2 linked regions of the Notamacropus eugenii genome follow. The protein of the gene in region 1 purifies or fractionates together with the protein of each later gene. This does not show direct contact. Links are inferred from orthologs where the notes say so. Each region holds a gene or a part of one and is shown on either strand. Other genes may lie near its edges. The genes, in order: RTN4 and ATL3.

Region 1 (16,374 bases):
GTTGGACTAGATGACCTCTGAAGGCCTAGAAGGCTTTCTGTCTGTAATTCTGTGACTTTTGTCACAGAATTTGACTCTAAGCAAGGTAACTTCTCCCTACCCAGAAATTTATACCCTGGTATCCAGGACAGTCACTTCATTTCCCATTCTTCATGGTACCATAGCAAAGTATCAAGGTAGCACAGCAGATAGAATATTGGAGGTTGAGTTGGTTGTGGTTCAATCATGTCCAACTCTTCGTGACCCCATTTTGGTTTTTTTTGATAAAGATACTAGAGTGGTTTGCTATTTCCTTCTCCAGTTCATTTCACAGATGAGGAAACTGTGGCAAACAGGGTTAAGTGGCTTGCCTAGAGTCACACAGATAGTAAGTGTCTGGGATCAGATTTGAACTCATAAAGATAAATCTTCCTGATTCCAAGCTCTTGGCCCTATCCATCACACTACCTAGCTTACTTGGAGTTAGGAGGATCTGAATTGAAATTCTGCCTGAAATACTAGCTAGGCATATGACCCTGGGAAAGTCATAACTTTTCTTAGTCCCAAACTCCTTATCTATGAGATGATGGTGGAAGCACTTACTTCATAGGACTGTTGTGAGCATCACATTAGATAACATATATAAAATGCTTTGCAAATCTGAAAGTGATATGTAAATGCTAACTATTTTTATTATTATATCAGACAGAACGAATCTTAAGCAGTTCTCTGATACAGAAGCCAAACCAGAATGTTTAGTAGTCTGTTCATACTACAGTTTTTTAATTCTGACAAGATAATATCAAAGATATGTTCACTCAATGAACACATCAGAAATTATCATGATTCATCAGTCAACAAATATTTTATTGTGTTTAATAATGTGCCAGACAGAATTTGCATTTGGCTTTTAGGTATTCCCATATTATAGAATATGAAAGCTGTAAGAGACCTTAGAATAATTTAATCTGTTGACTGAATTTTACAGATTTGGAAACTAAGACCCAGAGTAAATTAACTGCCCAACTTTGTAAAGTTAGTAAGGGGCAGAGCTCAAAGATTCTAAATCCAATGGTCTTTCCACCATATTCCAGCTGCTTCTCTTCCCATATGCTTACTAGCAAACCAAGTAAGCTGATTCCAGATGTTTCTGTGGAGTAAAAGGCAATTTTCAAATGATTATTATTGCTACATGTTTTTGTCTGTTACAAATTTTGTGATTTTTAAGCTCTCCTCATATCTTTTAGTTCTAGACACCAATTACCATTTATTCCTTACTCCTTTATTTAATTATACTATTAACAGTATGCAGATTCAATCATACTCTTAGGCACAAGTCAAATAATTTAATTTCTTAGAAATAGCTGAAATAATAGATAATCAAATATCACATGTAGCATCTTATATAAAATTATATATCATCATCATAGTTACAATTGTATTGTGCTTTAAGGTTTGCAAAGTGCTTTACGTGTATTATCTTGTTTGATCCTCACATCAACCTATAACATAAGTGGTATTGTTATTCTTATTTAACAGATGAGGAAACTGAGGCTTAGAGAGGCTAAGTGATTTGCCAAAGGTCAGTCTGACCTCAGTAAATGTCTGAGACTGAATTCAAACCCAGGTCTTCTTGACCCCAAGTATATCACTCTTAACCACTACTACAGGTGCTTTTGTTTTTCCATTTTGTTTTTGTTTTTTGGTAGGGTGGATAGGTGGGGGACGATTGACGGAACTGTGTTGTTTTGTTGTCTTTCTGTTAATTGCTACCGACTATTATTACAATGATCATTTTCTATGATGTCAATTTTTTTTTTTTGGTAAAACTTATGGATGAATGAAGACAAATCATCCTTTGAGACTATTTCAGTTGGAGCAAATGCAAAGGCAGACATGTGACTACAAGAATCTTACATAACTAAGTTGAAATTGATAGATGAATTGCTTCCGAAATTTCTTATGCTGCATCACTAATCCGTATACATAACTGAACATTTCAGAAGGATTTTAGCAGTTCAGGTTAAATTAAGGTTCTTGGGCAGAGGGTGGGAAAAGTTGAACTGCCACTATGTATCCTGTGTGCTTAATAGAAAAATCCATTCTACTAAAGAGCTTTTCTTCAGTACATTCTTATATGTACTTGTGTGCCTACATGTGGAATATATATGTGTGTGTGTATGTATATATGTACATATGAGAGAAATTTATATTTTTAGTGATCTGACACATTCTCAAAAGGATGTGTCCTCAACTTAGATGAACCTGCTAATGTGGATTGTCAGCCCACCCATGGCAGCCATTTCTATATGAATCCTGTCCATGTTTTTCCAGAAATTTACTCCAGGGGATCCACCTAACATGTGAAGGGCCTTTCCCACTTTTTCTGACTTTGTGTGTGAAGATACTGGTGGAGCACATGGGGTCTTTAATTGAACTATCAGACCAGCCTGTCTTCTTTTTTCTCGTTTTCATTTCCCCAATGATTCCTTTTACTTAGTTTTTCTTTGAAGATTGTTATTTGCTACATGTTGGAGTTCTTCATACCTATCACGTCTCATTCCATGACCCTCTGATCATAATATTCATTTTTAATTCTTCCAACATTGTGATATTTGACATCTGGAAGCATTACAGCAACACTAGTTGCTATTAAAAAAAAAAAAGATGTACCTTTGCTTCTGGAGAAGATTGGGCTTTAAAGAAGCTTTGCAATTTCCTAAAAGCAATTCAGGCAGCTCTTCTGATTAATCGGGAGGTCAATTCATTTTTCATTTGTATTGTCTTTCCTGGATATAGGTACTGATAGATAAGCTCTAGATGTCCCTCTCACTGCATGGTGTTATCTGGTTATTTATCCATTTATCCAGCTTTTCCTGTGTCGATTTTCCCCCCTTTCAATTTGATGAATAATTTATAAATGTATTTCATCAGTTTTTAAAAATCAATTCTTTAGCATGTCTTTTCTTTAAAGGGAAAATTTCAGAATCATCTTTATATCACTTCCTCTCTATCCCTGCTCTCCTCTTGCCTCCTCACCCTAGTTATAATCAGATACATTTTCCACAGAATTTTAGGGTTGAAAGGGATTTCAAAAGCCATTTACCTGGAAAAGACTCTGTCTATAGTATACCTGGCAAGTGTGCATCTGGTTTTAGTAGCACCAACATGCTATTCACAGGTCTACTGCACCCATGAATGTGCTGGCACAATTCTGAGTTGCGAAATACAACAGACTCTCCACATGGAAGACAGAACCAAAACATTTATTCAGATACCAGAAAGCCAAATCCATCATAGTAACAAAGAAATGTATACATAATAACAATGCAGAGGGCAACACCATCCCCAAGCCTTCCCTCTCTTAGGCTTCCCACCAACCAGCTTCCTTAAACAAAATCACAATCTCACTCAAACTGGCCAGCTGCCTTTCCCAGTTCTGATTGCTCTCTAACTTCCTCTCAGCTCTGCTCTAACCCCACTTCTTCCTGTTCCACCCTTCCTACTCCACCCCTTCCAGTTCCATGTGACTCAGGCTTCCAAGTGATTTAAGCAGGTCAAATGGGTCTATTAATGAATGAGAAAAATCTTCCCATTAAGAAGCAAAATTACATTAACAATAAGCAAAAATGCATTATCCATATACTTTCTAAAAAGGGCTCTAGCAAAGGGGAAACTGAGGATCCCAAATTAAGCCTATGTTTGCCTCTTTGTAAGTTTCACCCATGGCTCCTACTTTTCTGCACTCGCAGTCAAGCAGTGACATCGCTCCAGGGGTTCTCCGTTGTCTCCAGGATCAAATAGAAGATGCTCTGTTTGGCATTCAAAGCTCTTCATAACCCGAATCTTTACCTTTCCATTCTTCTTACCTCAGATGACACTGGAGGAGACAGTGAGGCTGATGACTTTGCACAGCCCTGTCTCACCTAAATCCAATTTACTTGCAAGTAAAGACATCACCCTGCTGATGTCATTAGTCCTGTTCTAGAACAAAGGACAAACATCAACAGCTGTCTGCCATGTACTTTTCTATCCAGTGACTCCATTTCTCAGCTCCGAACATTTTCTCTGACTGTCCCCCTTGCCTGGGACACTTACCCTTAATGACCTTACTGGCTTCCATTAAATCCCAACTAAAATACCATCATTTACCAGAAGTTTTCCCCAACACCTCTTAATTCCAGGGCCTTTTCTTAATTGGCTCCTATTTATCCTGTATAGAGCTTGCTTTGAATATCTTTATTTGCATGTTGTCTACTTCATGGGATTGTGAATTCCTTGAGGGTAGAGACTATCTTTTGCCTATTTTTGTATTACCAGTGTTTAGCACAGTATGTGGCACATAGTAGGTGCTGAATATATATTTATTGATTGATTGAAGGAGAACAAGTCTGTCTCTTCTACATTGTATGGAATCAAATAGTTGAAGATAGTTATCATGTCTGCAGTCTCTTTTTCTTCTGCTAAGAAATATGGTGGTGGATCAGTGGAATAGATTAGGTACATAATATATAGTATTTGAGAAAAATTGCTGGGAAAACTGGAAAGCAGTTTGGCAGAAACTAGGCATAGCAACCTCTCATACCATATACCAAGATAAGGTCAAAATGGGTAAATGATTTAGACATAAAGGGTAATTTTATAAGCAAATTAGGGGAGCATGGAAAAATTTACCTGTCAGGTCTATGGATAAGGGAAGAGTTTATGACCAAACAAGAGAAAAAGAAGATCACAGGAAGTAAAATGGATAATTTTGATTACATGAAATAATTTTTTTTACACAAACAAAACCAATGCAGCTAAAATGAGAAGAAAAACAGTTAACTGCGAAATACTTTTATAGCAAGTTTCTCTGATAAGGGCCTCACTTTTCAAGCATATAGGTAACTGAGCCAAATTTATATATATATATATATATATATATATAAAAAGAACCATTCCCCAATTGATAAATGATCCAAGGATATGAACAGGAAGTTTTGATTAGAAGAAATTAAAGCTATCTGTGGTCATATGAAAAAATGCTCAAAATCACAACTGACTAGAGAAACGCAAATGAAAACAACCTTGAGGTACCACCTCACATCTATCAGATTGGATAACAAGAAAGAAAAAGGAAAAGGCAAATGCTGGAGGAGATATAGAAAATAGGGACACTAGCAAATACCATTATTGGTGGAGTTGTGAACTAGTCCAACTATTTTGGAGAACAATTGGCAACTATCCCCAATGAGCTATAAAACTATGCCTATCCTCTGACACATCAATACTACTACTAGGTCTGTATTCTAAAGAAATCAAAGAAAAAGGAAAAGGACATATATGTACAAAAATATTTATAGCAGCTCTTTTTGTGGTGGCAAAGAATTAGAAATTGAGGGAACGTCCATTAATTGGAGATTGACTGAACAAATTGTGATATATGATTGTGATAGAATACTATTGTGCTGTAAGAATTGATAAGCAGGATGGTTTTTAGAGAAAAACTGGGAAGATTTATATAAACTGATGCAAAGTGAAGTAAGTAGAACCAGACCATTGTATACTATAACAGTAATATTGTACAATGATCAGCTGTGAATGACTTAGCTATTTTGTCATACAATCATCCAAGACAATTCCAGAGGACTTAAAATGAAAAATGCTTTCTCTAGAGAAAGAACTGATAGAGTCTGAATGCAGATCAAAACATCCATTTAAAAAAAAAACTTTTTCCCCTCTTTTTTCTGTCTGTTTTCTTTTGCAACATGGCTAATCTGGAAATATATTTTGCCTGACTGCACATGTATAAGCTATAGCAAATTGCTTGCCTTTTCAATGAGTGGGGGAGGGGTGGGAGGAGGGAGAGAATTTGGAACTCAAATTTTAAAAAAAGAATTTAAAAAATATTTTAAAAAAGAATTAAAAATTGTTTATGCATGTAATCAAGAAAAGTTAAAAAATAGATAAAATAAATTCAACATGTAACTTTAAAAAAGAGTATTCAGTACAAAAGGCCTCCAAAGAACTCTTCTATCCATCAGAGAATCTAGTATTATGCTGGGCACACAGTAGGTGCCCACTAAACATTTGTTGAATTTATTTTTAAAAAATGTTTTATTCTGAACTTAATACCAAATAAGATGAGCATTTTCATATAGAAAGAATAGAAAAAGAAGACTGTACATGATGCTACAAATATATATGCTTTACAGATTGCTCTTTTTAAAAAATATGTAATAAGTTCAACATGTTATTTAAAAAACAACAAAAAAACCCTGTGCCCAAAGGGCTAAAAAAAAGTGCACACCCTTGGACCCAATAATACCGCTATTAGGTTTATATCCCAAAGAGATCAAAGAAGAAGGACCTACATGTCCGGAAATATTTAGAGTAGCTCTTTTTGTGGTAGTAAAGAATTGGCAAGTGAAGGGATGCCTATTAGTTGGAGAACGGTTGAAGAAGTTGCTTTGTATATGTTTGTTTGCATGGGTCCCTCATTATGTTGTAAGCTCCTTGAAGGCAGGGACTGTCTTTTGCCTCTTTTTGTATTTGTGTTTGTATTTGTATTTTTGTATTTGTGTTTAGCACAGAGCCTGGCACGTATTAGGTACTTAGCAAATGTTTATGGAATTAAATTCTCTGAGCTAAACACTCCCATTCCTTCAACTGACCAACTGTGATATAAACTGATATCTCTTCACAATTCTGGTTGCCTTTTCACCTGTCTCCTAAAACTGTTTTTAATCACTTAAAAGGCAATATCAATGGGCACTGAAGTGACAAGTATTAAGGGCTATCTGGCTATGCCATGTCCTATGCTAGGACCCTCTCAAACTTAGAGCCTCCTTCTCTTCAAGGTCCAGCTTGGGCATCACTTGTGCCATGATGATTTCCCTGATCTCTCCATTCTCTAGCTGAAAGTGTTTTCTTTTCTCCTCAAATTTTCTTCCAGTCCTTTGAATCTCTCTTTTGTCCTTTTCACAAACTAACTTTGTATTCTACCTGTGTCCTTCTTGTACTCCCTGCTACCTCTGCTGTCATAGAAAGAGCACTAGTTCTAATTTCCAAACTTTGAGCAAGTCATGAAATATCCCTGGCTCTTGGTTTGCTCCACTGAAAAACAAGGGAGTTGGACTAGATGGTCCCAGAGGGCTTTTCTGTTGTTCCAGATCATTGTTCTGATGACAAGGGCAGTGGTGTTTTTCATCTTTTTATTTCCACTATTTAGGACAGTAGTTTGAACACAGTGGACCATCAATCAATCAGTCCACAAGACTTTATACTGGGCTACGTACTGGGGATACAAAACCACAAATGAAAGAGCCCTTGCATCTACATGTCCCAGTACATAGAGAAAAATCCAAAATGAATATGAGATAACTTAGGTGATGAGGCCACCGGCCCTTATATGCTTGTTGAATTGAATCTTTGAATTAAAGGCAAGTTACAATTGTGGGAAAGTCCTGGGCCATAAAGTTTCATAATTTATGTTTAATCTGCCTTAGAGAAGTGATCTGGCCAAGTAGAGAAGTTTATCATATTCACATACATGAAAAAGGATACATTCAACATTCCCTCTTCCTGGAATGAAACTGCATAGTCAATTTCAGCCTTAGTCAAGATCATTTACAAGAGTCATCTTTTGGACATGTTTGAGTTTTGTTTAAAAGATCATTCTGAATAACCAGCAATTCCCAGTGGCAAATGAGGGGGACACCTTGGAAATGAAGACTACATTGGAAACAAAGAAAATCTAAATTCCTAGCTTGGATACGTTGGAACCAGTTTCTCCAAATTTCAAGCATTGTAGAAAGTGAAAAGAGGGCCAAGTCCCCTCCTACAAATAAAGTGGAGCACTGAATGCACCCCGAGCTTCAGACCCCTGCAATCCTCAGCAACGTTTAATGACAAAACTGAGTTGGCTGGGAATGTAACGGGAATCTAGTTAGCTCCCAGACACAGGCAAAGGTCTTCCCGTTCGGCTCCCACCCTCCGCCCGGATGACTCATCTACCCATCATGTGAAAAGGCCAAGCGCAGGCAGGATGGGCTACAACGTCCTGGCAGGGAGGGAACCGCTCGTTCTCTCCTCCCCCCCCTCCCCCCCGCCCTCACCCCAAGGCTTTGGCGTCTTCTGTCTGCATCCCAGGTCACGGACTGGAGGGCACAGAGATTTCTTGAATATGGGGGTTAATTTTGGGGGGCTCCTCAGTGAGAGGAAGAAATCACTTTGGCATTTTTAAGTCTTTTAAGTCTGTCTTGTTTATTGAATTAAAAGACTCTCCCCGCCTCCAGGATCCATTACACCTATTATTTTTTCCAGTTCCGTTTTCTGCGAGGGAGGATTTTCCCTTCTCCAAATGCCTCCCAGTCCCCATATCGGGGTACTTCTCCCACCCTTTAACCGATAAACCTGCCCAGTCCAGGCAGCCAGCCCTAGCCCAGGCCAGCATCCCCAGGAGGCCTGGGCCAAATCCCCTGGTCCCTAAGCCCCTCCCATGGAACTTCACTCCCCTCCTCCCCTCCCGCGGCTAGAGTGGGGCTGCAAAGCCGGCCCCTTGGTTCCCCTTCTCGTTCTCATTGGACAGCTCTGCCCTTCTTTCCCCGGATCCCACCGCCTATTGGCTCGTGCTTTTCGCAGGCCCGGCCCTTCTTTTCGAGCCCCGCCCCGCCCCGCCCAGTGCCGCGTTTCTCCCCGCCGGAGTCGCGCCAAACTGGGCGGAGAGTGCCTTGGCTCTGCCATCTCGCCTCTCTCCGCCTTCCTCCTTCCCTCCCTCCTCGGTCTGGGCGGCGGCGGGGCCTGGGGGCTGGTGGGTGGCGCGGCGCAGCGCAGAGCAGCGCAGCTGCGGGCGCCGAGGCAGGAGGAGCCGACTCATTGTTCCGCAGCCGCCGCGCCCCTGAGCGCCTCTCTCTTGGAGTCTCTCAGTCACTCCCCGTCTCCGTTCCTCTCGGCGCTTTCCAAGAGAAAGCCCTCCCCGCCCCACAGCCTCCCTTCCCCGTCCCTCAGCCCGGCCGCAGCAGCATCCTTCCCAGCCCGGCCATGGAAGACCTGGACCAGTCGCCCCTGGTCTCCTCTTCGGGCGCCGCCGCGGGCCCGGCCCGGCCTCAACCAGAGTTCAAGTATCAGTTCGTGAAGGACCCAGAGGACGAGGAGGAGGAGGAGGAGGAGGAAGAGGAGGACGAGGACGAGGACCTGGAGGAGCTGGAGGTGCTGGAGAGGAAGCCGGCCGCCGGCATGACTGCGACGCCGCCGCCGTCCAACGCCGCCGCCGGCGCCGCGCCCCTCCTGGATTTCGAGAAGGAGCCGGTGCCGCCGGCCCCCCGGGGACCCCTGCCCGCGGTGCCCCCCGCAGCCGCCGAGCGGCAGCCCCGCTGGGAGCCCAGCCCGGTGTCCTCGTCCTCGCCGTCCCCGCCGCCCTCCGCAGCCGCTGCCGCATCCTCGGAGGAAGACGAGCCTCCTTCCCGCCCCCCTCCCCCTCCCCCAACGGCCGGCGTGGGCCCCCACCCAGATCCTGCGCCCCCTGCCTGGACCCCGAGCACCCCGGCTCCGGCCGCGCCCCCCTCCACCCCGGCCGCGCCCAAGCGCCGCGGATCCTCGGGCTCTGCCGGTGAGTGAGCGTCCGGCCCGGGGGGAGGTGGGGGAGGGGGGTCCCGCCCGCTGCCCTTCCCACCTCCTTGGGTGTGGAGCCCCCTTTCTGCCCCCCGAGAGCTTTGTCTGCCCCTGGCGGGAGCGAGGTCGGGGGAGGAGGGTGGGGCCGGGGGGGGCGATGGTGGTGGTAGTCATGGTGGTGATGGTCAGCCTGGCCTCCCTCCGACTTTATTGTCTGCGCCTGGGCGGCTGGGGCCATGTGCGTTCTGTGGCAGCCCCGCAGGGCCCCCACACCCTTCCCTTCCCTTTTCCCTCTTTGTTCCGGGCCGGGAGAGACCTCGGAGGATGCGTACATGAAGGAATGGAGAGGGGGGGCGGGGGGGTTGGATTTTAGCGTGGTGCCCGGACCCATGCTGGGGAAGGGGCGCCCTCCTGCCGCCGCTGCAGCCTGCCCTCGGCGGGCCCGCCTCTGGCTCCGTGGTGCCGGCAAGAGCGCCCCCAGCGGTGCCGAAGGGGCGGGGGGGGCCGTCGCCACCGCCCAGTTCTCCCGGACTGATGCCTATGATGTGGCGTCTGTGCTGGCAGCTGCTGGAGCCCTGGCTGGGTCGTGCCTTGGCAGGAGGGGCACACCTGCCGGCTGTCTGCCGCAGCGTGGGACGGGCTGCGGGAACCTGTACAGGCGCATGCGGTCCCTGAAAAAGCCAAAATGGTTGACGCTAAAAGACGAAGCAAAAAGCCCCCGAACCTGTGGATTCTTGGAATAGAACCAGCCAATCGAGAAAAATAACATTTTTGAGATGTCAGTGGTTCTTTGGGTAGTGGTAGATTTAAAGCATTTTTCTTCCTGTCCGGGCATTTGAACTGGTACTTCTCTTTGCAGCATTTTATTATGCAGGATTTTTTTTTATGTTGGATCGATTGGTAGCAATGAATTCTTTTTAGTTTAAAAGACTGAATTCTGTAAAGCTTGTGAAGATTACTTCAACTCTTATTTGAATACTTGAATATGTAGTACTTTTATTTTTTATGAATCTTCCATCTTAGCCAGGAGTTCCTTTTGAAAGGAAACTTAAGCTTGTTAAAAACTCAAGAAACTTCATTTGTTTATTGGCTTGGATTTTTTGATTAATACAAGATACTGCTGGGAAAGGAAGCAATTTTATCAGTATAGCAATTATGTAGGTGGTCAAGAACTAGCCATTGTAATCTCCTGCAGAATTTATTAATAAAACCATAGAACCCGTCAGGAGTTAAAGAGATTACCAAGATATTAACCTCATCTTACAGAAAGGGAAAACCAAGCCTCGGAGGAAAAGTGACTTGTTCAAGGTCACACTGTAGTATTTTTTTTTTTCCCTAATGAGAAACTAAGAAAAGACCTCTTTGAGTGTTTTGTATTTTGCTCAGACACAAAAGAAAATGTTATTAAGGTGTAAAGGATATCCAAATAATGAGGCTAGTCATTCACCTTCCTATATTTTGTATCAGAAACTTTTGGTTGTGGAGACTATCAGATATATTTGGGAGATGTCGGAAAAGATGGAAAAATAAAAGTATGAAAGAGAAGTAATTTGAAATATGGAGACAGTATACCTTAGACAAAAGAATATTATTTAGCGATCTTACAAAGACTTTTGGAAAGGAACTGAACTTATGAAAAGTGATTATTGATAAAACTCTCCTAGTATCCTGCTGACTTATGGGTTCAGAGGGCAAAAAGGGGAAGACTTGCTTATTTGGAGATGACCTTTATTCAGTTCTGTTTTATTAAAGATACACTGTGAAATATGCTGTGAGAGAGAGATACAAATTGAAAAATGACACAGAACCTGCCCTCTAGGAGCTTAAATTGGGGGGGGGGGGTGAGGAGGGGGGTGACATGAGGAATATGCAGATATTTGTAAGAGTGACATTAATATGACAAGTCCCACATAAATGAATGCCTGCAAACAATATTGAATCGAATTATAAAAAACATTACAGTCATCTTCACAGTTAGTGTTTGCCAAAACCAAGAGCAATTTATTTGGGAATGTTGTTTGTTCTTTGTTTCACATAGTATCATGTTTTATTAAACTAGCCCTGAAATCCATGGAAGTGTATAGAATTTAGAGCTGAATGAGACATTAGCAATCATTTACTTCATTTTATAGATGAGGAAACAGGCCCATAGTGGGTGTCAAAGGACCTTGCTCCACAAACACATAGTAAGTTAACAGGCCTTGGATTTGAACTGAGATCATTTCCCAATATAAAACTTTTTAAAAAAAACTATACCAGTTTCCCTTTGTGCTTTTATAAAGATTAAGTATCTTAAAATGAAAAGATATTAAGAGTAATAGTCATCATTATTACTGTGCCTGAATCAGATCCCAAGAACCATATCCTGAGATGGGTTTGAAGTGTTGAGAAGGGCTTGTTGCAGCTAGATAGAGTCAAAGATATGTAAGTCTGACTTAAAATTCTGCATTTGGAATTCTGACCTGTGACTTCTAACTCAGAAATTGTGAGTGTGGAGTAAAGGTGTGTAAGCAGGTTATCTTTTAACTTAGGCCTTTTACCTGGCCTCATTGCTTGGATGCCTTTATTGTACTGTTAGGCTCTCATAGCCTTCTTGCTTGTGTGTTCAACCTCATGGGGCTTTTTTTCCCGTTAAACACAATCTCTATTTCTCTTCTTCCCTCCCCCCCCCACCCCCAGTTTGACGTGGAATTCTGAGTAGCCTTCTGAGGATGACTCATTATTTTATCCAGTTTATATTGGTTAGATATTTGTAGAAGTATTTTTCCAAATAGGAATGATCAACTGCATTGTCTCTTGCATCATCCTGTGTATAAAATGGTGCCTATATCCTGAAGCATAGTGATAATGACCATTACAACTCTATTTTAGAAGAACTTTTAAAAATTTACCGAATTATATAAATTTGAGGCCTCCCAAAAGCTTTTCCTGGGGAAACTGTTCATTTTTTGACAGGGTAGTAATGGCACAGATATTAAGCTTTAACAACATCTATTTGTGGGGAGGGATGTCATTGGGTTATTTACTCAGTGTGGTCTACTTTTTCTAACTAACTACTAATGCATAATACTTTTGTGCTTACTAGGGGCTCTGAATCACTGACTCCTTCATCCTTGAATTGTCTTTACCTCACTTTATAACTTAATTCTTTTTTATGCTTTTTCTGGAATTTTGTTAAAATAAAATGAAGTTGTGACCCTTTAAGGGAACCCAATGACAAAAGTAGAATGATTAAACTGTAACATTCTAAGACACTGGCAGTAATTTAATGGCTAAGTTTTATCTTCACTTTTGAAGGTCATCAAGGCCTGGAACACTTTTAGTCTTAATTTTCCTTGACCTGTCTGCAGTATCTTTCACCTACTCTTTTTCGCTGTTATTCTTGAAGCCATGTGGTTTTTTCTTACTAGTATTCTTTTCTTTCCTTTGCAGTTCCTCTTTTTCTCTTATCAAATTTGAGTGTTGTCCAAGTTGTAGTCTTAAACTAAATGTCCTCTATATAGTATATTTCTTCAGAGACTTTCTAAAATTCTTTTATCTCTGTAGTCATTATTTCTGTAGAGAACTTTCCAATTCTATATTTAGTCACAATTTTTTCCTTAGACTTCCTAATTCTTAGTTATATATACTACTTATCTTCAGTAGGCTTGCTTACAACATCTTTGGGACAATCCATGAGTAGGCAGAATGATATAGTTGATATGTGTCTCCTCCTGTCTATAAACATGGTTTTGATTTCTTCTGTTTTTATATATTCCTGATGAACTTACACACAATTGACTGTTCCACTGTCAGTTTAAGAACACTATATCTAAAACTCAGCTGGTTGAAATAGTGAAAAGGATACTGAATTTGAGATTAGCAGGACCTTGGTTCAAATCTAGCTCTGACAGTTGCAGCTGTGCAAACTTATGTAAGTAACTTTATCTCTTAAAGCTTTAGTTGCCTCATATTTACAGTGAAGATAATGTTAATGCTTTTCTCATGACAATTCTGTGAGCTAGATAGTGTTTTGTAAACATTAAAGTGCTACAAAAATGTTGAGTAATATAGTGTTGTTGTTTCAAAACTAGCTCCCTCTGTTCATCTTGCTTGTTGTACTTACTGATATCACAATTCTCTATCAGTCTTGAAACATCAGTCATCTTTATTAATTTAGCTCATATTTTTCAATAGACAAATAACGTTCCAATAGAAATGTTTTAGGACAAGTCACTGTCATGCTATTATTCATTTGTATTTGATGTTTACTGATTGCAAGGTGGATAACATAACTACTTTTTTTTTTTTTAATTAATTTATTTAACTTTTAACATTCATTTTCACAAAATTTTGGGTTACAAATTTTCTCCCCTTTTATCCCCTCCCCTCCCCAAACACCAAGCATTCTAATTGCCCCTATGACCAATCTGCTCTCTCTTCTATCATCCCTCTCTGCCCTTGTCTCCGTCTTCTCTTTTGTCCTGTAGGGCCAGATAGCTTTCTATACCCCTTTACCTGTATTTCTTATTTCCTAGTGGCAAGAACATTACTCGATAGTTGATCCTAACACTTTGAGTTCCAACTTCTTTACCTCCCTCCCTCTCCACCCCTTCCCTTTGGAAGGCAAGCAATTCAATATAGGCCAAATCTGTGTAGTTTTGCAAATGACTTCCATAATAGTTGTGTTGTATAAGACTAACTATATTTCCCTCCATCCTATCCTGTCCCCCATTACTTCTATTCTCTTTTGATCCTATCCCTCCCCATGAGTGTCGACCTCAAATTGCACTCTCTTCCCCACGCCCTCCCTTCTATCATCCCCCCCACCCTGCTTATCCCCTTATCCCCCACTTTCCTGTATTGTAAGATAGGTTTTCATACCCATAACTACTTTTTATAAATGAATACAAGTATTGAGTTGCACACTCACCTTCTGTAAGCTTCCTATAAACATTTTTGGGGTAGTCCATCAATAAGATGAATCATGGAAATGATACATGCCTCATGATTTTGATTTCTGCTACTTTTACTACTAGAATCTTCATGCTTTCCCCCGAAATGTCTTTGGTTTGTCCTTTCTCGTCTTGACGGTCCTTCCCTCCTGGCCATTTTGTAGTTCTTTTTATCTTCAACATACTGGCTCTCCTGGGATATTGAAAGAATTATAAGACTTCCTGTTCTTAACTGGCTAACAACCTGATGAGATAAGATGTCCACGTTAAAAGTCAAAGCAGTATGTAATCATCCTCTTAATTCATCCTTCACGTAGCTACCAAATGGATATTTCTGAAATACAGATCTAACTGTGTTACTCCTTTCTCAAGAAGGTTCATTGGCTTCTTACTGCCTGTAAGATATAAAATCAACCAATTTCTTTGGCATATAAAGTCAAAGGAATCCTTACATAATGACTAGTCTGGCACATGATATCCATCTGTATCTGTGCATTCTGCCTGGAGCACTTTCCTTTTTCATCTCTACCTTTTGGAATCCTTAGGTCTCCAAGTATCATCTCATGTGAGATCATTCTTATTAACATTCTTCCCCATCCTCCAAATTACTTTGTATCTATTAGGATAATGTCTGGAGCATGGTAGGTGCTTAATAGATTTTTATTAAATTTAATTGATATGATATAAATGAGTGATAGTATATCACATAACATCCTTTTGTTTATCCTTCAAACTTCTGAGTGACTTTTCTATCTCCTCTCCCCAGTTCTGGTATTTGTGTAAGGGCACAAGTTTATTCTTTCCATAGCTTTCATAATTTTTTAGACTTAGATTACATCCACTCTCAGGTTTATCAAATTGCCCATCTTAAAGAATTTGTTTTGCTTTGTATGAAAGGGATAGAATTGTTCTCCTAGGAAAAATGACAGAATACCAGATTGATAACATCTATTGATAGATCCACTAATGAGATTTTTCCATTTTATCTGAGATAGTTTATTATTTAAAGAGTATAGATTAGATTAACAAATTTTATGAATGATGGCCCTTGGTTCTAATTTATTTGAGAGAGAAAAAAAATCCAGGAATACGTATGAAAATTTTCTTGCACACATCCTCATTAGAAAATTATATGGTTACCATAATAAACTTGACTCTGATTTGTAGAATCATAGAATTGTAGAGTTGGAAGGAGCCTCAACATCCATCAGGTGCAATCTGTACTTGAAAAGGAATTCTCACTAGAATATATCAGATAATTGGTCTTCTAGATTTTGCTTGAAAGGAGGAGGAACAGATAAACTTTCAAGGCAGCCTTCTCCATTTTTTTAGACAGCTGTAATAGGAATGTTTTTCCCCTCCTCAGAGAACAAATTCAAATTTGCCTATTTGCTAGATATAAACAAGTTTAATTTCTCTTCCACATGTTTCAATACTTGAAGAGAGTTTACATCATTCCATGACACCTTCCTCCCCCTAACCCCCATTCTAAACCCCAGGCTAAAATATTTCTAATTCCTTCAACCTATCCTTATATGAAATCCCATGCTGGGATCATTTGAAAATTTTAGTGGGCTGCAGTCTCAGTTTGAATTAGTATTATGATAACCTCTAACTACAAAAGAGCTAAATTAGGTGGAAAGACAGGTGAAGTATGTCTGCTGTAAAGGAAAATCACCACAAAATTGTATTTCTTTTTAGTAGAATAAGTATATAAAGGTCATCTTAAATTATCAGGTCACATTTAGAGTGTTTAGTAATACAGATATACTCTTGACATATATGTATGATGATAGAATTTTTCTTATAACAATTATAATTGTGTTTATCATTAATTTCCCTTGTGATAAAATTTTTCTAATGTAACATT
Region 2 (15,639 bases), on another chromosome or scaffold:
CATCCAACATTTTGTCATTCCTGAATGTTGTGCGTTGGTACTCTGTAATTGTTTTAATTTGCATTTGTCTAATCAATAGTGATTTAGCACATTTTATTTGACTGTTGATAGCTTTGATTTCTTCTTTTGAAAACTTTATGTTTATGTCGGTGTTCTTTGTCAATGGGGGAATGGCTCTTATTTTTCTATATTTGGCTTAATTCCCTGTCTGTTTGACAGATTAGGCCTTTACCAGAGAAACTTACTGTAAATTTTTTCCCCAGTTTCCTGCTTTCCTCCTAATTTTGACTGCATTCATTTTGTTGTGCAGTTTCATGTAATCAAAATTATCCATTTCACTTCCCATTTTCCTTTCTATCTCCTATTTGCTCATAAACTTGTCCCTTATCCATAGATCTGACAGGTAACTTTTTCCATACTCCCCTAATTTACTTATGAAATCACCCTTTATGTCGAAATCATTTATCTACTTTGACCTTATTTTGGCATATGGCCTGAGATATTGCTCTGTGCTTAGTTTTGGCCAAACTGCTTTCCAGTTTTCCTAGTAATTTTTGCCAGGTAGTAAAATCTTGCCTGAAGAGCTTGGGTCTTTTTGGGGTTTATCAAACACTGGATTACTATAGTCACTTACTACTATATAATGTGGACTTGTCATATATTACTATGTAACGTGAATCTATTCCATGAATCCACTACTCTTGTTTCTTAGCCAGTACTGGATAGCTTTCATTATTACACTTTGTAATATAGTTTGAGATCTGGCACTGCTAGGTAGTGAAATGCTAACTTTTTAAAGGATTAAAGACAAATAAGTTGTCTTTAATCTTTATTTCCACCAGGTGATTTCCTTTTTTTCCTTTTCTTTCTTTTGACTGATATATATTAAAACCAACTCAATATTTCTTAAAGCCCCTTGTATATAATGAAGGGCTATGCTAGAGACTGTGAGTGTGCTAGGGAAGCAGAACATAGTTACTGTCTTCAAAGCTACAAAAGAATGAAAAGAGAGTTGGTTAGGGGAGTTCTTCCCTCCCCCCATCCAAAAACTTACCTGAATTTAACCAGCATGGCTTTGCTCTATGGAACATGTTCAGTCAAATCCAAATGGAAATTCCAGCAAGAATTGGTCAATTGGAAGGGAGTGCTGGCAGGACAGGAGGGGGCTTCTTGCTATGGTCAGAAGTAGCCAGGCAGTATGGCATCCCTCCATGACCCAAATGATGACTCATTCTGTCCTTGGAACCTACTGATATTTCCAGAAGGCCTCTGAATGTACGCTCCTAGAGATGGTCAGAAGAGGCCAGTTACACGTTACATTTGGAGATTTCCCAGAGTAAATTCTGATTGGTGTATAACAAGCCAAAGGGAGAAATTGAGCTTTCAGGGTGAGCCCCAAAGACCAGCCTCGGGCTGTATTCTGTCAGGGTCTCAAGACTGCCTGGATCGTGAGGTACAAGGTATATCCTAAGGCAGCACCTTATTGTAGCCAAATGACAGTGGGAGCTGGGAGAATGTGCCCACTCTGGTGGTCTAGCTCCCAGCCCTATGAATGGTGCACTAGCAGATGCCTGTTTTTCCACTGTCTCCAACATTTATCCTTTCCCTTTTTTCAGATGCCTTCCTTTTGTAGGAAAGGCATTTGAGTCTCAAAAGGGCTAAGTGACATATTCACAGTGTCTGGTCCCTCCTACCTACCTGCTTATCCTTGGGCAAGTTCCTTGTCTCCAGACCTCTGTAAAATGAATTGACTTCAATTTCATTGAATTCAGCAAGCACTTAAATACTCTGTGCTAGGAACTAGGGACCCAAAGACAAAACAGTCCTCAAAGGGCTTATATTAGAGGGGAGGGGAATTCCATGTCTACATGCATAAGGGATCCCATTCCAATCCACCTCTTCCAGCAGATTGCCCCCTCACTTGTTTTTAGTCTCTCCCTATCCACTGACCATACCATCCCTCTCCTCATTCAGTAAACTCCAATGGCTCCCTATTACCTCCAGGGTCCCTGTGTTGGGCCTTCAAAACCTTTTAAAACCTGGACCCCTCCTTCTAGTCTTCTTACACTGTATTCCTCCTCCCACCTCAACTTCCACACTCTACGATCCTCCTAGTTCTTTACACAATGCGCTTCATTTCTGAATTCCAGGCATTTGCGCTGGCCATGACCCAAGTCTGGAATGCTGCTCTCCCTCATCATGTCTGTCTCTTTGTTTTCTTTCAAACCTAGCTAAAGGCCTATCTTTTATGAGAAGCCTTTCCTGGTCCCTCTTAATGCCAGAGCTTTCCCTCTGGTGAATAGTTCCAATTTTTTCTGTCTGTGTCTTGTTTGTATGTCGTTGATAGGTTGTTTCTCCATTAGACTGGGAGCTCCCGGAAAGCAGGGACGGTTTTCACCTTTATTTGTACCCCTGGCACATAGTAGGCACCTAATAAATGCTTATTGACTTATAAATAAGAGCATACAACATGATGTTGGTGTTTGTGGAGGAGACAATGGGAAGAACAAACATTCCAGGCAAGGGACCTGGCCAATCCAAGGGGATGTTGGGAAATGTTTAACCACCACATCTCAGACTGGAGCAAAGGACTCAGAAACAGTCAGGGGCTTAATGGACTTTGTTAACATTCTCTCCACTTTCTTAAGTCTGGACAATCAACAAAACTATAAATCTGGCTGAATTCTGAGCGCTGACAATGAATTTAACTATCTCTGGCTCTGGCTCACTTCTAAGCACAGTCTTTGCAAAGGCACTGAGGTGAGATAGGAATGTGTGTGTGAGTTCCAGTGTGGGGTGGGGTATACGGGGGAGTTGAGGATAATAAAAAGGCTTCAAAGGTCCCGTCCATCTTGTAATTCTGTAACCCTTGCTATCTACTTAAGTGACTTGACTCTCCATGGCCCCATTTGGGGTTTTCTTGCAAAGATACTGGAGAGATTTTGCCATTTCCTTCTCATTTTGCAGATGAGGAAACTAAGGCAAGCAGGTGAAGTGACTTGCCCAGAGTCATACAGCTAGTAAGTGTCTGAGGCCAGATTTGAACTCAGGCAGTTCTGTCTACCCAGTTGCCCCTACTTAAATGTCTACCACCATTTAATTTCCTGCTGAAGGATTTCCAATAGTTCCATTTATTTATTAATGAGTATTAATTGTCTACCATTGGCTCTTTATTGGCTATTTATTAATGAGTATCTTTTGAATGTCTAATCTGTGCAGAGTTTACCCCTCCAGTCTTCTTCCTAAACTAGTCCCAACTATAAAGGGCTGATATTGGAAAATGTTCCTTGCCTTGGCTTTAAGACAACAAAGAGGCGCCACTCCCATTATTTTCATTTTACAGTGGAGAAGAAAGTTAACCTGTGCCCAAGGAGACCCAGGGGTGAGGGCTGAGGCTTAGAGTCCACAACTCCACAGTCTCCAGGCTGTTGTAAACACCACCTGGACAGTGGCCAGGCCGTACACTTTGCACCAGGACTGTGGTCCCAACTTTCCAGTTTGCAAGAAAAGGAGTGGGAAGGGGAGAAAACTCCTGTCTATCTGGCACTGAGGAAACCAGTGGTGTGGTGGAATGCAATCTGGATTCACAGGCTTTGGTTCAAACTTTGTTTTGAATGGGTACTACCAGTGTGACCCAAACTCTCCAGGCCTGGTCACAAATCAAGAGGAAAGCTGGATTAAAAGATCTTTCTCAGGGGCCTTTCAAACTCAAAACAACAAAACACCCTTTTGATTTGGTGACCAGTTTACTGAGTAAAGGAGTCCAACTAGAGCTGGGCAGCACAGAGGGCCTTGGGATGGAAATTCCTCAATGGCCTCAGCTTCTGCTTTTGTCTTATAGTCCTAGAACTCAGCATAGCACATGGCCCAGGGGAGGAAAAAAGGAAAGGAAGAGGATACATATTTCTATGGTGCCTACTATGTGCCAAGCATTTCTATAGTGCCTACTGTGTGCCCAGCTTCTTGGAAAACTTTTCTCCTTTGAGCCTCACAGCAAGCCTGGAAAGGAGGTGCTCTTATGATTCCCATTTTGCAGTTGGGGAAATTGAAGCTGAGACAGTTTCAGGGACTTGCCCAGGCTCAAACAGCTAGGAAGTGTCCCAGGCCAGATTCTGACTTAGGTTTTCTAGACCCTTGAAGCTAGGTGGTGTTCTAGGCTGATAGCCCCAGCCTGGAGTCAGGAAGACCTGAGTTCAAATCCAGCCACAGACCCTTCCTAGCTGTGTGATGCTGGGAAACCACTTCAGCCATTGGCCTCAGTTTCCTCATCTGTAAAATGAGCTGGAGAAGGAAATGGTAAAGCACTCCAGTATCTTTGCCAAGAAACCCCAAGTGGGGTCACAAAGTGTCAGATACAACTGAGAAAACAGCTAAACAAGAACTTCTGGACCCCAGGCTCTTGATCCTGTGCTCCTAGCTGCTTAATAGGTGCTGGCTGATTGACTAGATTGGTTGATCTATGGTTTGTTCTGTTCCCTGCTGGGGCAAACCCTCCCCTCCCCCGACTTACCAGGCAGTTATTCAGGGTTGTTATGCTCCCCTCTCCCCCAGTTCTCCAACCCTTCTGTCCAATCACCCTTCAAAGCCTTGAAGTTGGCAAGTGAAATTCTCAAGGCTGGGCCTCCTACATCAGACCCACAGTCCAGCAGCAGGCCCAGACTGGAGTCCTTCCAGTTTGCTAGGACTTGCCACAGCTTGAGCTCTGCTGGCACTGCCTATGGAACCCTGGGTCACCCACAAATCACGATGAGTCATGGGAGAAGGCCTTCAGTGGAGGAAAGGTTAATGGGACAGTAAAGGACCCTGTGCACCTGAAAACTCCCTTGTGGCTGGGGGTGGGGGGAGGTCAGAGGGATATTTACTTGTGCCCTGTGCCTGCACCCCTGCCTGGGCACATTCCAGCTGCTCAGGCAGCTGCTTCTAGACGGCCTATTTCTGGGTTGTGCAGCCACCACCGCCGCCACCACCACCACCACCACCACCACCACCACCACACAGATATGTGAGCATCTGTATATATGAGTGTGTGTGCATTTGTGTATATATGTGTGTATTTGTGTGAGTGTGCCATTTCAGGGCAGCCCAGCAGAGAGGGCAGGGTCAGTGGCATGGAAAGCAGGAGTTCCTTCTGGGTCCACACCCAGATATTTCTTCTTCTGCCAACTTCTGAACCTTCCCAGCCCTGCCATTTATGACTCCTAAAACTCTTCCCTCTGGGAAGGCCTCACCTGTACAGTGGGGGCTGGAGTGGAGGATCTCCAAGGTTGGAAGTCTGTGGGTCTAAGGAGAAGCCAGCCCCTGGATTCTATTATGAGATTTCACAGGCAAAAAAAGGAGGACCATAGCCTCCTCCCTGGCCTCCTCCCCACCTTCCTCCCCGGCCTCCTGTCTGGCCTCCTCTCCTCCAACCCCCTGGTTTTTCTTTGGTGTGTGCTTTGTATTCTCTTCAGTATAGACCCATTGCCTCCTGGCCAGGCATGAAACTCCTGGAGGGAAGGAATGGATTCCTTTTGGTCTTGATATGTTCAGGACCTTGGTGGTGCCTGGCACATAGTAGGCACATAGATGGTGATCAGTGCTTGTTGACAGATTGATTCATGGTCAGCGGTTCTAGACATGGCTCTTGCTGAGAAACCCTGGGCAGGTCACTGACCCTGTTTGTGTCTCAAATTCCTCATCTGTGGAATGGGAATGATAACATCAGTCATTCCTCTCTCAAGCAGCAGTTTGGAGGATCAACTGAGATAATATTGATAAAATACATTGCAAACTTTTATTCTTGTTCAGTCATGTCCGGCTTTTAATGATGCCATTTCTTGGCAGAGATAGTGGAGTGGTTTGTCATTTCCTTCTCCAGCTCATTTCACAGATAGGGAGATGGAGGCCAACAGGGTGAAATGCCCTGCCCAGGGTCACACAGTTAGGAAGTGTCTGAGGCCAGATTTGAACCCAGGGAGATGAAACTTCCCTGTTCCCAGTCCAGGGCTCTGTGCACTGTGGCTGCTGCCCCCTAGCTGCCCGTTGCAAACTTTAAAGGGCTATAAAAATGCCAGTTCTCATGATAGACCCTTACCATTGTCTTTTGTGTTATACTGTATTATGCTCTGCACACTGCTTCACAGCATGTATATGTACATCATGGCAGGCAGGATGACAGAGTCAGGAGAAACCTGGGTTCAAATGCTGCCCCTGGCCCTTACAGGCAGGGTCACAATGGCTAAGTCATTTGGTATTTCATTAGTGTTTACCTCCGTAAAATGGGACCAGGAATACTTGTGTCTCCTGCATCACAGGGCTGCTGCCAATGTTGAATGAGATGATGTATTTAAAGAATTCCAGGCATCAGCGATTATTATAAATAGTCTCCTGTGACCTCAATACTCACCAGAATAATAAGAATTCACGCTAATAAAGTGAGTAAAGTGTTTTTCCTAATGTCAGTCACTTGAAGCAGCTTGTTCAGCTCTTACCTGAACCCATTTCAACAAGGAAGAAGCTATTGCCCAAGCCCACGATGCTGCCCAGGGGCAAGATTAGAACTCAAACCCAGGTCTCTCCTGACTCTACTTGTCTGTTGAAAAGGCCACTCTGAGCCACCATGGACTGGACAAAATCACTTAGCAACCAAATATTTATTGAGTAATGACCGTATACACAGTCCTGTGTTGAGTCCTGACTGGGATCCAGTTTAGGTAAGGAAGAGGCCCTGTGCTCACTGAGTGGATGAACAAGAACCAGCATTTGGGCACAGCCTCTGGGAATTGGAGGCAGCGGTTCAAAGGGCACTCCTTGTCTGGGCCTCACTGTGTCTTGTAAAATGAAAGAGCTGGACTATGCCTTTCAGCTCTATGTTTGCTCCTGGGTCCCACATTTGTACCCGATTCCTCAGGCTCATTTGTCTGCGTAGAGCCTGAAAGAAAGTGGTCAGGAGGGTGTGTGTCTGTGTGTGTGCCTCAGGTCTGATGACCCAGAGGATGGATGGCGATCATTAAGCAAAGCCAGCGGCAGAGAAGGCTCTTTTCTAGGGTGCCTGAGGGCCACTAATGACACAGCAATTATCCTGGAGACAGCCTGGATCATGACTGTGCTCCTGGAAGTGAGGTTACCCGTCTTTATCGCAGTTCAGTCACATCCTCTTCCTCCTCCCTGGGATCCGTGCAATTTTGAAAATACAGCAATGGTTCACTTGTAGGCTTATGGGAAGGGTCCTTAGAGATCATCTAGTCTCACCCCTCGTTTTACTGGAGAACAGAGGTCTGGGGAAGAACAGGGACTTGCCCAAGGTTACACAGACAGTTGGTGGTCACGGAGATCAGAAACCAGTACAGAAGGGCAGCCTATTTCTGTGGCCTGAGAGTGTTTCAGGACCAAAACTCTCTCCGGTAGAATGTGATTGTTTTCATTTTCCTTTGATTGCTGGTTCTAGGTGCAGCGTTTGATTAGGTGGGTACTCTGTCAATGCTTGTTAAATTAAATGGAATTGAATACGGCTGGCCTGGGCTCCTGGCACATTACTGTGCCCTTAGTAAGTGCTCATTGACTGACCGAGTACTGAAGGTCACTGAGCCCGAGGCAGGGAATTTAAGTTCAGCTGGGGCCTGCGCTTGGCTCTGCCAACCTTCACCCTTGTGCTCTTGGGCATGACAGAGGACGTCCCTGGGCCTCGGTTTACTCGTTTGTAAAATGAAGGGTTTGGGTGAAGCTTGGCTGCAGACAGCCCCAGATTTAGCAGCAGAAGGCCTTCTCTGCCCTGTGCTGGCGGTGGACACTGAATCTCTTTGGGCCTCATCTACAGTGTTCCCCTCCCCGGGGCTGGACAGGCTGATCTCTCCAGCCTGGCATAGCTCTAGGCCCCCACTGTCTCCCTCTTCCTTTCCCCCTCCCCCACCCTCCCCTTGGCCTGCTGGGAGTGGTAGTTTAGTGTCACACTAAGGCGAAGAGATCTGGTTACGCGGCCTATGTATCCCCACTAGAGGGGATGCCGCTGGAGGGCAAGGCCTGCTTTTCTTTATTTTGAGCTTTGCAGCAGCAGCCCTTCCTGGCACAGGCCTGGACCCTCGTGGGTGCTGCTTTGGACACGAAGCACCGGACACGCGGTCCAGCCCGCAGGAAGCACCTAGGCAGGCCACCCGCTGAGCGCCTGCGTCGCCGCTTGGCCTGCTGGGAGTTATGGTTCCGTGGGAGGCTGAGCCCCGGAGAGTCGAGCTTCCCTTCTTTGCTGCCGTGATTCCGCATGGACTGCTGGGAGTTGTGGTTTCTTGGGAGCCCCAGAGCCTAAGTGAGCGCCAGAGTGGTACTACGTTTCCCAGGAGGCTGAGGTGGGCGGGGCTGCTGCGCGGGCCTCGCCGCCGGCCGGGCCCGGGTGCGCGTGCGCAGCCCGTTTCTTCTCGCTGCCGAGTCCCCGCCCATTTCCCGCCCAGCTCCGCCTGCCCGCCCTCTCGGCCGCCCTCCCTCAGGCCCGGCCCGGCCCGGCCCGCCCTCCCCCTGCCGCCCGGGCTGATGAGGAGGCGGCTCCATGTTTTCTTTTCTGGGAACGGCGGCGGCGGCCTCATCAGAAAGCGGGGAGAACACAGGTAACCCCACGCCCCCCGAGCCCCGGGCCCTTCCTGCCTCAGTTTCCGCCCCTGTAAAAGAAGGCCGCAGGACTGAGTGGACTCGGGGGTCCTCGGCCCTCTCTGCCCCTCAGCTCCTCTTCCGTAAAGGGAGGGGCTTAGACCGGGTGGTCTCCAGGCCGTCCCGGCTTCAGTTTTCCCGTCTGTCTAATGAGGTCGTTAGACCAGGACCTCCGATCAGACCCCTTCCCCTTCCCGGGCCTCAGTTTACCCTTCTATTGAAGAGCCGAGGCTAGTTGGCCTTTGGGGGTCCTTCCCCTTCTTGGGCCTCAGTTTCCCCCCGTGTACAACGAGGGGGTTGGCGGAGCTGGCTCCGTTTGTAAGTTTGTGCGTGGCTCCTCCCCCTGCTTTGGTGTTGGGCTTTTTCCCGAGTAGGTGGGTTCCTTCTCTCCACCCCCTCCATTTCTCCGCGTGTTCCTGCTTGTGCCCCGGAGCAGTAGGGTGAGGGGGCCCCTCCCCTGTGGCCCCCTGCCGGGTGACATGGGGAATGGGGCATCCTTCCTGGTGATCAGGAGACTGCCCTCTTTGGGGTGGGTTGGAGTTGAAGTTTCCCGTCTGAACTTGATTTCTACCGGTCCTGTTTGCCCCACCCTTGGGCACCGAGCACAGTAGTGAGTGACCCCACCAGGGGGTGATCCCCGTTAAAGGTCCTCCTTCCTTTGTAGACTTTTCCATCCCATTGGACTAGAAAGTTTGAAGCAGATGCTTTTGGCCATATTAGGGTGGAAGGATGGAGACAGGGAGATGCTGAAGGGCCCGGGCTAGTCATTACAGGCAGAATTCCTCTTAGGAAAGAAGACAGGGTTTGGAATCCAGACCCTTTGAAACCCAGGCCCTGCCTTCTGGTACCAACCTGTGTGTCACCTAGGGCAAGGCTCCCCTTCCTGCGCAGGAACATTGAACTGAGGCCCTTTTTCATGGCAGCTGTGGTCCTGCCACCTGGAGTCTGCTTGCTAGCTGTTACTCAACTTTTATGAAACCTGCCCTGGGAATGGTGAAACTTAAATTATTTTTAACCTGAATCTTTCTACCTCAGGGGACTGAAACCAAAAGTGTGGTAGAGAATTTGGTGTTCTATCAGGTTTTGTTTTTTTTTTTAGCTGACGAAAAGAATATGAACTTCAGTTGGAGAAAATTTTCTAAAGTTTTTGAGTACGTTTCCTTTTTTTTGAAAAGAGAGCAAAACGACAGTCATTGAAGTACTGACACTCCCCCCTCCCCGCTTTTTCTTTGTGACATTTGGAAGTTTCTACAGGTTCCATTTGTGAACTTTCTAGACTTAAAAGATGAGTAAGGAGCCTGGGTAGGAAAACTTCTCCAAAGCCAACAAAGTTCAGGTCCCCTGGTTTGAGGAGTTGTATTGAAACTGTAGTGGAAAGGAGGAGAAAACACTAAGTAGGGGCCCCAGGGCAGGCCTCCTGCTTCCACTAGGAGCAGCCTTTTTTTAGGGAGTCACTTTTAATGGATGAAATAATAAAAGGAAGAACTGCAGTTTTACAAATTTGTTTTAGAATTTTAGCTGTGTTCTCAGTCTGTGATTTTAGAGAATTGCCTGAGGCCCTGAGAGGTTAAGTCATTTGCCCAGGTCTCTGGTCCACTGCCTGTAATAGGTGAGATTTGAGCCCAGATATTCTGGACTCCAAGTGTTATACTGCCTTTTCTGTCACATATATGATAATGGGGGGAAAAGTCCCAAAAGGACATAGTATGGTATGGTATAGTATAGTATAGTATGGCATGGTACCGTATGAGATGGTACAGTATGATACGGTACAGTATGGTATGGTATGGCATGGTACGGATAGTGGTGTGGGGGCTGCCAGACCTGGCTACACATTGACTTAGCAAGCCACGTATTAACATCATCTGTGCTTTATTGTATTTTTACTTATTTTGTTAACTATTTCCCAGTTACATTTTGTTCTGGTTTGGCAGCTGTGCCTCAGGCCCAGGCCTCTGCTGTAGTGGATAGAGGGGTAGTGCAGCCATGAAGAGCTGCATTCAAGTTCTCACTGACACATCTTGGCTGTATGACCTTATCTTGGTGCTCTAGGCAGGGGTGGGGAATCTGTGGCCTCAAGGCCCTCAAGTTTGGCCCTTTGACTAAATCCAAACTTCAGAGAACAAATTCCCTTAAGAAAAGGATTTGTTCTATAAAACTTGGACTCATTCAAAAGTTCAAAACCAAGGACTCAAAGGGCCACATGTGGCCTTGAGGCTGCAGGTTCCCCACCTCTGTTCTAGGAAGCTCCTGAAGATTCTTAAGTTATAGAGAAGGAACTAACTGCATCAGTTGAGTTTTTTCTCATCTGGAAGGGCTTCACACCAATGAAATCATAGGTTGGTCCTTCTCCCTTAGAATTCCAGGATTCCCACACTTAATACTTTGTTTTACGAAAACGGCTTTGTCTTGTGATGGATGGCTCTTAAAGTTCTCGTTGTTAACATGACACTCTAGGAAAGGAAACTTTTCTTCGCTTGGCAATTCTGTTCATGACTGTTTTCGTATCTGACACTGTAACCTCCTACTGCCTTCTAGGATCAAACTGAGAAAGAAAGCATTTTGTAAAGCATCCTGTCAATGTTAGCTAGTATTATTTTGGAAGAATTAGACTAGGGCAAATTCTTGAAAAACAAAACAAAACAAAACTAAGGTACCAAACAATAGTTTAAATACATTTTAGCATAGAGAGAGCACCAGCTGTGGAGTCAGCCTCCCTGGGCCTAAGTTTCCTCATCTGTAAACTAAGGGGGTTGGACTAGGTGACCTCTGAGATCCCTTCCAGCTCTAGAGTAAGGATCCTGTTTTAGAAACATTGTATCCTGGTAGAAACCTTATGGTTGGGTCTTTTCTTTGGTGGAAAGGATGGTGGATGATATAAAAAATCAAACATTGTATACTTTTGAGATGCTCTACGTGGACTTTCTATTAAGGATTCGCCTAATTGGGTTGCCTCTTAAGGAGCCTAAGCTTTTGTAAATACGTGGACTTTCTAGAAACTGTAGGGTCAGAGAGTGTGATTTGCTGTTCTGCATTCTGGTACAGAGTAAATATATTATGGCAGGATTTATATGTGTAAAGGATTTATATCCTTTATGGGATATGTTCTTAAAGTGTTCCAAATCATTCTTAAAGCATTCACTCTCTCCTCATTTTAACAAATGGGCTTTTGAAACCAAATTTTGACTGTGATTCATTTTGGGATTTCCCATAGGTGCAGATCTGTAGCTCTTCTGCCCAGAATCTGGAGAGAGAGAGAACAGAGCTCTTTGGGGACTTGGAAGGTTCCCACAGTCACTGTGTCATCCCCTCCACACGAACCCAGCTCATCTGCCCTTGAGGTAGCTCTCCTGCCCCTAAGTCAGGTTGCTTGGCTCCATTTGGGAACTTTCCTTTGAAATCTAAGGACACCTCCTAGAAGTGAAGGAAAGAACTTCTGACCTTTTCAGTTTGTTAGATGCTAACGTATTAACAAAGGTCCTACAATCAGCACACAGTAGTGGATTTGGAACTTGGAAAGGTCTACATTTTGTGACATGCTTTATAAATTCTAGGGATCACAGGATGAGAACTGGAAGGACTTTTGAAATTGTGTCTGGTTCCATCCTTTTACAGAGGAGTAAACCTAGGCCTGGAGATGTGGCCAAGGTAACGCTTTAGGTAATTCAGAGCAGAGCCAAGGTTGGAGCCCAGGTCTCTCTAGGTCTGTTGATTTTCCATTCAGTCAGCAATCCTTTAGTAACTGCCTGTGATGTGCCAGGTACTGTGCAGGTCTCAGCAGCAGCTGTGATTAGAGATGGTGCTGCTCCATGCAAATTTCTGAGTTACCAAAACACTTCCAAAATATATTTGTTGCAATTGTCACTGATGGATTCAGTTGTCTCTACAGAAGGTTTCCAGAGCTGTATCTCTAGCTCAAGACTTTCCTGAGCTCTAGCCTGGTCTGACCTGCTCTATGTTCCATGAGCACCTCAGACCCAAACTGTCCAGAACAGGACTCCATAACCCTCACGTCTCTGTTTCTCTCCCAGACGCATTTCCTTTGTGGCCTTGCCTGTGTTCATATTAAGGCCTGCTGCCTTCTCAGAGAGCCAGCCCTTGTGGCTTCCACCTCCAAAACGATCATGCTTCAGTTCCAGTCTTCACTGACTTATGTCCCTACCTCAGTTTTCTTTCTGAGTCAGTCCATCATCTGTAGAGATGCCAGCTTGATTTTCTTAGAGTACGTAACTGACCACATTCTTGACACTCTGTATTTTCAAGAATAAACTCATGTATTTGACATCTGAAATCCTTCCCAGCCTGGCTTTGACCAGGTTCTTATTGGTCACTCCTCTTTATGGACTTCACAGCGTAGCCAAGCATCTGGCTTTTCACCTGTGGCACTCCATTTCTTGCGCATGGGCTGATAGGCCATGCCTCATGCCTGGAACCTACTCCATTCTCACCTTTTCCTTTTGGAAGTACAATGAGAGCTCCCAGAAGGCCGAGTTTGTTCTCTATATCTTTAGTGTGAGGCACATAGTATGCACTCAGTGAATACTTTTCCATTCCATTTCCTTGCCTTTGCTTGTCCATGCCTTGACTGCTGGATGTGCTAGCCCACATTAGACCTATTGCCTTTGTTTTGTGTGAGCTAAAACATTCCTGGAAGAAAAGAAGGTGTTGCTCTGCCTCTGGGAATCTCATGTGACAGCTCAAGAGTCACTATGCACACAAAGCCTTTCTGGACCATCTGAGCTGCTCAAGCTGCCTCCAGCCATGTACCTCATGTATGTCCATGTCTCCTTGATAGAATATGAGCATCTTGAGGACAGGAACTGTTTTCACTTCTGTCTTTGTTATTTTTGACTCCTGAAGTCCAATAAGAATAAATTTGTGCCATGTAGGGCAGTGTGCAGCAGAATGCTGGGAATGGTACTGATAATTCTCCTATCTGTGGCACTGTAAAGTTTAAAAAGCACTTTCCTTATGACAACCTTATGAGGTGTGTACCTTATGAGGTGCAGGAATTTCCCTCATTTTACAGATGAGTCAAACTGAGATTTAGAATAGCTAAGTTACTTCCTTTTCTAAAAAGAAGCTTATCATTTTTACTTTTCAGGTAATAAGGTATTTTCAAAATTCACTTGTCTCTCCTACTACCCCACTCCCTATTGAGTAAATTTAAAAACAAACATAATAACAAAAGTGAAGAAAGTTCCCTTTAACACATCTACGTAGTTAGACAAGTTCCCACGTTAGCCATGTCTGAACATGTATCACTTTCTTCCTCTCCGTCTCTCTCCCTGTCTTTGTCTTACTTCCTGTCTCCCTCTCTGTCTTTGTGTCTCTCTAGTCTAAGTTTGTCACTTTCTCTCAGGAAGTGAGTGGTATGTTTCAACTTTATTCTCTTGGAATACTGGTTTTACTGATAAAAGTTTTGAAGTTTTTCAAAGTTATTTTTCTTCTACAGTGTTGTCGTTGTTCTAGTTCTGTTCACATCATTCTGCATCAATTTATAGAGAACTTTCAGGTTTCTTCTGAAATTGTCCATTTCATCATTTCTTATGTTACAATAATATTCCATTATACTCATACCCCACAATGTGCTTAGCCATTCCTTAATAGGATACTCCCAAGTTTTCAATTTTTGGCTATGATGCAAGAATTTCACAGTTGCTTCCCTGAATGCCTGGATCACTTTGTAAGCAGTACACTAGTTTACCTGTTTTCCTGCAATCCCTGTAACATGGATCATTTTCTCTTTTACCCATCTCATAGGTACCTCAAAGTTGCTTTAATTTGTATTTCTCTGGTTAGTGATTAAGAGTATTTTTTTCATTTGATTGTTGATATATGAATTTCTTCCTTTGAAAACTGCTTGTTCATAGCCTTTGGTGATTTATTGATTGGGGAGTGGCTCTTAGTCTAATAATTTACATCAGTTTCTCATATATATCTTCAATGAGACCTTTAGCAGAAACTTGTGGCAAAGATTTTTTCTGTTACCTGTTTCCCTTTTAATATTTGTATTAGATTTGTCTGTGCAATAATGTGTATATTTTATGTCCAGTTTATTTTGGGCGGTCTTCTCCATCACTTTGTTAGTCAGGAAGTCTTCCCCCTTCTGTAGATCGGAGAGTTCATTCCTTTCTTGCTCTTCTAACTTATTTAGGATGTGACTTGTTATTTCTGAGTTCATGCCTTCATCCGGAGCCTGTCTTGGTATATGGTATGAGGTGCTGGTCTAAAACTAGTTTCTGCCAGGCTACTCTCCAGTTTTCTCAGTTCTTTTGGTCAAATAGTGACAAGTCTCTGGATTTATCAAACACAAGATATCTCTTTGTGTTCTTCTGTGTGTGGTGTACTTAATTAGTTCCACTGATCCTTCTCTCTCTCTTTCACTTATACTCAGCTCATTTTAATGATTACTGCTTTGCAGTATATTTGAGATCTGGTACTGGTAGTCTCCTTTCCCCTCCCCCCTCCTACTTTTTTCTTTATTACCTTTGAGATTCTTAACTTATTGTTTCTCCATATGAATTTGGTGATTATTTTTTCTAGTCCTATGAAATATTCTTTTGGGAGGTTGACTGGTACAGCACTGGATAAGTATATTGATTTACGTAGCATTGTCATTCTTATTGTATTGGCCCGATCAGGCTAAATGACTTGTCCAGATCCACACAATTGATAAATGTCAGATCTGGGACTTGAAGACCAAGTATTTGGACTCCAAAGTCTTGGCTCTTTAGTTTTATGTGGCTGAAAGAGTAACCACTCAAACAGCATGTGGAAAAGCCTTCACTAACTAAGCAGAGCCTTAAATTCATGGGCATTCTCTCTCTCTCTCCTGCCCCCCACATTTAAGAAACAAATGGATGAAATGGAAACAAGCAACCAGACATTCATTTTTCTTCTCAAAACCCTGAGTACTTCTGGGGGTTCGTGTTTCCAGCCTAATTCTCCTTTCTCTCTGGAATTGGAAGGTCTCAGACATTTAGTCTTTATAGCTAAAGAATCAAAAATCTCATGACGGGGATG

Evidence for each region.
Region 2: the proteins of RTN4 (region 1) and ATL3 purify together in Homo sapiens (affinity purification with mass spectrometry; 4 studies listed by BioGRID and IntAct, counting the BioPlex papers as one, with this or other methods). This does not show direct contact. The link is inferred for Notamacropus eugenii from reciprocal best matches to the Homo sapiens genes RTN4 and ATL3.

What each region holds. Positions count from the first base shown.
Region 1 is NC_092872.1:651,275,395-651,291,768, forward strand, and holds the start of RTN4 (reticulon-4), read left to right. Parts: upstream 1-8,690; 5' UTR 8,691-9,000; coding exon 9,001-9,568; intron 9,569-16,374. UniProt on the Homo sapiens protein: Required to induce the formation and stabilization of endoplasmic reticulum (ER) tubules. They regulate membrane morphogenesis in the ER by promoting tubular ER production.
Region 2 is NC_092873.1:16,541,790-16,557,428, reverse strand, and holds the start of ATL3 (atlastin-3), read left to right. Parts: upstream 1-8,411; 5' UTR 8,412-8,515; coding exon 8,516-8,573; intron 8,574-11,932; exon of another isoform or gene 11,933-11,954; intron 11,955-15,639. UniProt on the Homo sapiens protein: Atlastin-3 (ATL3) is a membrane-anchored GTPase that mediates the GTP-dependent fusion of endoplasmic reticulum (ER) membranes, maintaining the continuous ER network. It facilitates the formation of three-way junctions where ER tubules intersect.